Linked DNA regions of Saccharomyces cerevisiae S288C. The gene in region 2 interacts genetically with the main gene of each other region. Each region holds a gene or a part of one and is shown on either strand. Other genes may lie near its edges. The genes, in order: AVT7 and AVT4.

Region 1 (3,992 bases), on a different chromosome or scaffold from region 2:
TATTCTAGATACAGATGATGAAGAAATTTCTAGGTGGGTCAATTTTCCCTGGGATGCAAAGCCAAAGTTGACAGAAAAGTTGATGGTAGACTTTTTGCTAGAGAATCATGGTCAAGTCAATAATGAGGAAGATTTGGAAGGTATACAATATCTCGTTGAAAGGGCCCGCTCTAAGGTGCCAATGCTAGAGGATTCCCTTGAAGGGGAAGATTACAATTTGTGTCATTTTTGGAGTAACTTTGAAATTGCCCGCGTTGATTTATTCGACAATGAGATCTATAACGCCTATTTTAAATTTTTGGAAGAGTCTGGAGGTTTCTGGACTGAAAGGTGGGGTGACGCGCCAATTCATTCAATTGGGTTGGGAATGACCTTGGATCTAGAAGACGTTCATTATTTCAGAGACATTGGTTATAGACACTCATCGCTGCAGCATTGTCCGAAGAATGCCTTACAAAGCCAAGAAAATCTCAACACTTTCGATGAAGGTTATAACTTCGGATGTGGATGTCGATGCGTGTGCCCCAAGAAAGGTGAAGACATCGAAGACCACTCCACCCCTTGCATGGATATTTTTTTTGAATTGCTTCACGGCAGGGAATATGAGAAGGAATTCCCTGGTTGTTACAAGCCCTCCATAAAGGACAAAGACGTGATTGAAGAGATCAGAAGAGAAAATTTTAGAGTAATTGAATAGATACAGTGTTTTCTATACATTTATACGTATGAACAAAATTATAAAAGAGTCTACCAACTTCTCCAGATATCTACGAACTGGCGGTGTACTCAACAGTCTTCGGACCACATCTAAGTTTGTTTACATTAATAACAATTCATATTTAACTCATGGAGGTTTTGATGGCAATGTAGCTACTATTTTCAATATTTCAGAATTCAATTACATCAATTCTTCGGCCAAGGGGTCACTTCTAACTTATAAAAGCATTACCTTCTTTTGTCCAAGATATTTCAAGAAACGGCCTTTAGGGAGACATGCGAAGGGAAAAGGCAAATCTGACGAAAAGATTCTATAAACTACGATTTCCAATATACTTAACACACAAGAAATGTCTGCTAAACCCGCTACTGACGATGCCAAAGATGAACTTCTATCACCATTTCGCCGGCTATATGCATTGACAAGGACACCTTATCCTGCGCTCGCAAACGCAGCACTATTAGCATCCACTCCGGTGCTATCCCCAAGCTTTAAAGTGCCTCCAACGCAATCTCCTGCCCTCTCGATACCAATGTCTAGGGTATTCTCTAAATCTTCTACTGCCAGAATCGGTATAACTACTAAAACCGCCCTTTTCTTTTCTACAATGCAAGCTATAGGTGCATACATGATCTATGACAACGACTTGGAAAATGGGGCTGGCTTCATTGCTACATGGTCCGCCTTATATTTGATTGTAGGGGGCAAGAAGTCCTTTAGTGCGTTAAGATATGGAAGAACTTGGCCGTTGGTGCTATCCTCGGTTTCATTGGCCAACGCAGTCCTTTATGGCCAACGGTTCCTTGCTACCGGATTCCAGTGATGCTTACATCTATTAATGTCTTAATATTTAATTTTGTATCCTCTGTATTATCTGTATGAACCACGTGACTTAACATGAATGGATTTGCTTCCACATCTTTCACCTCTTATCATACGTTCATAACTTCTTCATCCGAAGTCAGATTTGACCCTCAAATAGATAAGACGCCAAGAACAAGCGTCAACGGAAAGGCGAATTCTACAATCAGGACATAGCATCAAAGAGAAAAGGAATTCTAAGGTATGGAGGCTACATCAAGTGCTCTTTCGTCTACGGCGAATCTCGTTAAGACAATAGTTGGCGCTGGTACACTTGCCATTCCGTACAGTTTTAAAAGCGATGGTGTTCTGGTAGGGGTTATTCTTACATTATTGGCGGCGGTAACATCCGGTCTGGGTCTCTTTGTGCTATCGAAATGTTCCAAGACCTTAATTAATCCAAGAAACTCTTCTTTCTTCACATTATGCATGCTCACCTATCCCACTTTGGCCCCAATTTTTGATTTGGCAATGATAGTTCAATGCTTTGGTGTGGGCTTAAGTTACTTAGTTCTTATTGGTGATCTCTTTCCAGGACTGTTTGGTGGTGAAAGAAATTATTGGATAATTGCATCAGCTGTAATCATCATTCCCCTATGTTTAGTGAAGAAACTAGATCAATTGAAGTATTCTAGTATTCTAGGTCTTTTCGCGCTAGCATACATATCAATTCTGGTGTTCAGTCATTTTGTGTTTGAGCTGGGAAAGGGTGAATTAACAAATATATTAAGAAATGACATATGCTGGTGGAAAATTCACGACTTTAAAGGATTATTATCAACTTTTAGCATTATAATTTTTGCTTTTACGGGATCAATGAACCTATTCCCCATGATAAATGAATTAAAAGACAACAGCATGGAAAATATCACTTTCGTTATCAATAATTCGATATCCTTATCAACAGCACTATTTTTGATCGTTGGTTTATCAGGATATTTAACCTTCGGTAATGAAACCTTGGGTAATTTAATGTTGAACTACGATCCTAACTCAATTTGGATAGTAATTGGCAAATTCTGTCTTGGCTCAATGTTAATTCTTTCCTTCCCGCTTCTCTTTCATCCGCTGCGCATAGCAGTTAACAATGTCATCATCTGGATTGAGATCACTTATGGTGGGGCAAATCCCGAAGAGGACCCACAAGTTTCGGAATACACTCGTGCTTCCAACCTAAGACCAATTAGCATGACTGTGGAAGATCCAGCCCAGCCCAGTGATGCACTAGACGCAACTTCTTATAACGAGCAAGAATGTTTACTACCTAACGGGAACTTTGATAATGGTTCAATTGAAAGTCAAGAGAACAATAATGATGAAAGAGGGACTATGGCGGTCGCCGGGGATAACGAGCATCATGCGCCATTTGTTAAGTCTAGATTTTACTGGATTACTGCATTATTACTAATAAGCATGTATACCTTGGCGTTGTCTGTCCAGTCATTTGCACTGGTTCTTTCATTTGTAGGGGCTACAGGTTCAACGTCTATTTCATTCACTTTACCTGGATTATTAGGTTACAAATTAATAGGCTTGGATTCTTTGGCTATTGGGAAGATGATTCCACCAAAAGATAGATTTTACAAAAGGTGCAGCTTATTGCTAGTCTTCTACGGACTATCTGTGATGTTTTTGTCATTGTATGTAACTGTATTCAACCGTTCAGATGAAGCCTAAATGGACCAATAGTCATGCAAGAGAAGTATAAAACAGTATATAGTAAATAGTAAATAGAATCAGAGACAGCAGACTCAAAGTTTTATGCTTAACGCGATCATCGACTAGTTTAATACTTTATTCTATGGCACTTACAAAAAGGTATTACCCTGCTAAACAATAAAGATCCCTGAAAAAATGGAGCAGGCTCAGAGAATGTGACTTCATGCGCTTTAGTGGTAAAAATACTGCCTAAATAGTCCCTAAAAAAAAAAGAATAAAAAATAACTCCGAAGCGGGGAGTCGAACCCCGGTCTCCACGGTGAGAACGTGATGTGATAGCCGTTACACTACATCGGATTTGATTAGCTTGATTTGAATAGAAAAACATGTTACCATATCAGTAAATATGAATGATCTTTATTTATATATATATGTCCGGAAAATTGTAGGAATAAAAACCTGTTGGAGTAAAAATCAACCATCATCTATCAACTAGTAGTTACACTATCAATATATTATCATATACGGTGTTAAATGGTGACGCAAGTTATGAGAAGCTGTCATTGAAGTTGGAGGAAGCTGAAATGCAAGGATTGATAATGTAATAGGATAATGAAACATATAAAACGGAATAAGGAATAAAACGGAATGAGGAATAATCTTAATATTAGTATGTAGAAATACAGATTCCATTTTGAGGATTCCTAAATCCTCGAGGAAAACTTCTAGTATATATACTGTATACATAATATTA
Region 2 (4,746 bases):
CATCCACGTCATCATAAAAATTTACCATTTTGGAAGCTGTATTGGTAAATGGTGTGCTGCTTCTGTCTTTGACTGCTTACTTTAATTATGAAACTATCACATTGTCATTAATCCCACTCTACTCCTTGATATGTTTAAAAGTTCTCAGGTTGTCGGGGCATTAAGCGGAGTAATCGGATCAAGCTTATTCGCAGATTGGAAAAAAAAATAAAATTCTGGCAATCTTGAACTTGATAATAAATATGAAATTGTGTATATTCAGACATGCTCACCACCTACTAATCGTAGATGGAACATTAAATAACAATATAGGGGTAATGCTTTTAGTGTTTTTTACCTACTACATAATTTCGTGCGAATAATACTGTGACCTGGCGGTCCTTGTTTATATAAAGTGAATTAAGAAGACGTTTGCAACTGCAAGCTGTCAATGGCGACAATGGCAAAATAGTGTTCCTCGATTCCAAATAAATTCTTTATGAAGCAACAACATATATCGTCTAGACACCGAATATACTCTGGTAAGACGTATAAAGCATGCTTGCAATACCGAAGAAAATTAAAATGGTATCTAACATTGGTTTGAATCTCCAAAATTCCCCTTTAGTCTCTGGAAGGCTATTGCCCCGTAAATGCAGCATCGATGGGTATATATATACCAAAGGAATACAGGCGAGGGATCCTATAACTGAAACGAACTTGTCTAAATTATCAGACCCAAAGTAAGCAATTGATACAACAATGATTACGATTATAGAACGAATAAAGTTCTTCAGCCATTTAATTTTCCAGTTCAGCTTTCCTGAATTAGGACGTAATTCGACTCTTGTTGTTAGATCATCGTGCTTGACATATATTTTAGTGAACTTTGGAAAAAACTTATTTTCAATAATTTTAATAGCTGGAAACAACTGCAAAGGTGTGGACAACATAATTGCGATGGAATAGAACAGCTGGATTAAGTTTACAAAAATGTTACTTTGAGGTAAGTTCAACAGTATAACCGTTTGAACATTTGAGCCGTATGCCAAATATCCCAATGTAGCTATGGAAATGAAAAGTATGGTTGCCGTTAGAATCACCAAAGCAAGTACTAAAGGAAATTTTTCAGGATTTCTCATTGAGTCTTGAACAGGAATAATTAACCCGATTCCTTCGAAAGCAAATATTGCCGTCCCGATAAACAGCGTCCAACGGTCTGCATTTAAGCCATAGACGACACCCATTGCTGGGGTCCCCATCAGGTCAAAAAACAACCTTTTGGCTGTAAAAATAATGACAATGACTAAACCAGCCATGATGAAAAAATTTGCTAGTAAAGATGGTAGTGACAATTTCGAAATGTTTCTAATAAACGAAAGTGGAATAAAAATGATCGTTTGAAAGACCATCAGGTAAGATAAAGGTAGGACGCCCACATGGAATACGTTATCAAGAAAAGCTTGTAAATTTTTTGCAGTAAATATCATATAAGCTCCAGAGAATCCAACTTGAGTTATTACTAGGGAGAAAAGAATTATTATTCTCATCCAAGGTCCATACAGTTTTAAACCAATATCACCAAAGGAGGATACACCGCATGAAGATTTGGCCTGCACCAATATGTAGTAACACCAGTATGAATAAATTCCAAAAAAGGCCAGCATACTTACTGAGAAAAACAAACCACCATTATGAAAGGCATTAGGTAAAAATAAAACGCCAGTTCCAATGAAAGATTTAAGCAATATCAAAAAAACCTTCTTTGTCGAAGTCGTACCTTTGGCTGAAGGTAATACTTTCATATGGTCAGGCCGAGACAGCAATGCACTCCTTTCATCTTCTCCGCGTATCATCATGTTTGAGCTATCAGGGATAAAATCATCCTCGAAGGATTCACCAGCAAAATGTCCAAACACGTATAGAAATTCCAAAAAGTTTCTTGTTAAAAAGGGGACCTTATCGATATCTTGGTTAGAAGATGGAGATGACTGGTTAATCGAATCGCTTTCATGCGAAGTGAAGTCTGAGCTAGCGGAATCATTTAATTGATGTTCTTGCCTTTTTTTGTTGACAATAAATTCCCTTCTGAAGCCACCGGGGACATTTAAACCACTTGCTGATGACAATTTAGTATGGTGCTCAATTTTAGGTGTTACATTTTCCATGGACCGAGGGCGTCTGAGCCGTTTAGGATCCTCTGCTTTAACCAACTTGTAAATATCATGCGTTATGTCGCCTCCAGCGCTACTCAGGTTAGTCTCATCGTCATCACTATCAACATTTGCTGCAGCTATGGTACTTGCTGAAGAATTCTTAGTCGGATTAACCCTAGGGATTGCTTCATTTCCATGAGAGACGGAACTTCTTTTGCTACTGTTCAAGTAGTTAAGCCGTACACTGTTTATAATCTCATCTCTGTGGGGATCCTCCAGAGTCTGAAAATTGGGAGAAGACATATCCACAAATACTCTAGAATCAACGCTTCGACATATATCCCTCGGCGTTAAGGTAGACATAGAATACTTCCTACTATAAAATGGGTTTGAATTGAGAACTGTTGATTGAGCCCTTCTGGGAATTTTCATATTATTGGAAGGATGCCTTAAATTTCCGTTTCTTCGGATCCCAAGGTGCTCACCATCTCCATTGTTAGTGACCATTGATGATGTGTTCTAGGATATTGTTATGTTGATTCCAGATTATGAATGACGTTGAAATGTGTTTTAGAGGAGGAATGATGAGTGCCTTTGAACCTAAGGAATCAGATGGCTAAAAATGCTATGTCACCTCGAAAGCAAGAGCAGATCAAGGTAAATGATATCCAACTATATTGTGGGTATTGCTTTTATCAAACTGGCTTATGACAGTGCTTCACAAGATTTAAGCATTCTATTTCATTGATGAAGCTGTTCGCTTATCTGATCTTGCTGATAAGGCGAATCTTAATGCATGGGTTTATTAAAGGATGATGCATGTGAGAACTGATCACCAGAGCCGAAAAAACATTCTCAGAATATCGCTGAAAACCTTCAATAATAAAAGCTTCCTAGCGCTCCTTCCGATGTCTGTACATTAGGTATCTAGTAGGATGCGTATGTACAGTTGTATTCTTTTCTTACTATATAGAATATTCATGAGATCACACAACACATACAAAATACTTACCTAATTTAGCATGAAATCAAATATGCTAGTCATATCAACGTAGCGACGTCCACAATCGTTCAAATATTTTTGAACAACGCTCCGGCCGGTTTCCATTAGTTCTCTGTTTTGTTCTGTTAAAGCCTTAATAGATGATTCTGTCAGCTGTTCCTTGGGGTAGTCGAGATCATCGGGTAGATATATTGGCTTCAATTCTTGCTTTTTATTTTTTTCACAATCGAATAAAGAATCGAAATATAAAAGTTGATTGTACAATTGCTTGTCACTGTATTTGTATCTCATGACACCCGTGCAGCCGTCATTCAAACAACGCTTACCAAAAACGGAGACTTGTCTTGTAACTATACCGCATGTGCTGTCATCACACTGTAACCACCCTGCGTAATATAAGGAAATGTGTGCCCTTATAGAATGCTCTATTTGGCTAGTTAATTGAAGAGGAGTAAAAAGTTGCTCACAATGCTTGCACTGTAAACCATTATATGACACGCGATAGTAATTTGAAGATACAATACCACCAAATGGAAACCTTTTATCGCATGATGGGCAACTTAATTCTAATGTTACAGTATCCTTAAACCTTTCAACGTCTGTAATTGTTGTTTCTAAGGGTTGCAAATTATTAATATCTTCTCCATTGTTATTACCGCCCTCTCTTCTAAAATACTTTTTACTATCTAAACCAAGCGCTTCACTCAAACGCACCACGTTGAAGCTATCAATTCTTTCTAACAACCTTTCTACCGGCGCGAATATTTGTTTCTCGAGATAATATTGTGGATCAGGTATCAAATTGTTACTTTTAATCATTACCTCATTCAATGCATGGGCACGTTCAGCCACAGAAAGAGCCGGCGTATCCGCTGCATTGTCTATTTCATCCTGCTTTGTGATCACAAAAGTGATGACAGAGCCAGCTTTAACAACTCTACCAGCCTTACGCATTCTTAGAGCTACTTGGACTGCAGGCATGTTTTTACCACCTGGGTAGGCCTTGGGATCTTTTGAAAGCTTCATATTGATCTTATATTTATCAATTCTAATGTTATTGGTTTCCACTTTTATTCTGATGTCTTCTAAGTAATCATACACTTCTTGCAATGCTTCTTCTGGGTCCTTATCTGACAGGATGGTGTTTAAAACATGTATAGAAACGTCCCTCGAAAGTGGACAAAATTCACGACGCTTCATGTCCAACCCTTTAACTTCTAGAACAGTAGTTCCATTACCATTTTTGTCCAAATTTACAGTCAAAGCAGCGTACTTTTTCTTGGCATGTAATAGTAACTTCTTAAAAACATTATCAATATCAATCTCCAATAATCTATAGCGCTCATTTACTAGCCTTTTAAATCCCAAGCCAATTTTAATTGCATCCGCATAATTATCACAACCGGTATCTATCATGACCGAATCTGTATCACCATAAACTACAAGAAGATTCATACTTTCAGCTAGTTGTCTTGTATTCATTAAAATCTCACGACCCTTATTAGTGACTAACATGGCGAGCGGCTTTGCGTAAAATCTACTGTTAACATAACCCAAACAACCATACATAGAATTGGCAGTCAATTTTAGAGCTTGTTGACGAATATC

What was found.
Region 1: of AVT4 (region 2) and AVT7, changing one enhances a phenotype caused by changing the other (phenotypic enhancement), as found in Saccharomyces cerevisiae (one study listed by BioGRID).

The regions. Positions count from the first base shown.
Region 1 is NC_001141.2:197,195-201,186, reverse strand, and holds AVT7 (Avt7p), read left to right. Parts: upstream 1-1,783; coding exon 1,784-3,256; downstream 3,257-3,992. Other genes in the region: KTR7 (putative mannosyltransferase), read left to right, coding at 1-697; YIL086C (uncharacterized protein), read left to right, coding at 726-1,034; AIM19 (Aim19p), read left to right, coding at 1,068-1,541. UniProt on the Saccharomyces cerevisiae protein: Probable amino acid transporter of unknown specificity.
Region 2 is NC_001146.8:432,895-437,640, reverse strand, and holds AVT4 (Avt4p), read right to left. Parts: upstream 2,643-4,746; coding exon 501-2,642; downstream 1-500. Other genes in the region: MIC27 (Mic27p), read right to left, coding at 1-28; DNA-directed DNA polymerase alpha catalytic subunit POL1, read right to left, coding at 3,148-4,746. UniProt on the Saccharomyces cerevisiae protein: Involved in amino acid efflux from the vacuole to the cytoplasm. Capable of transporting large neutral amino acids including tyrosine, glutamine, asparagine, isoleucine and leucine.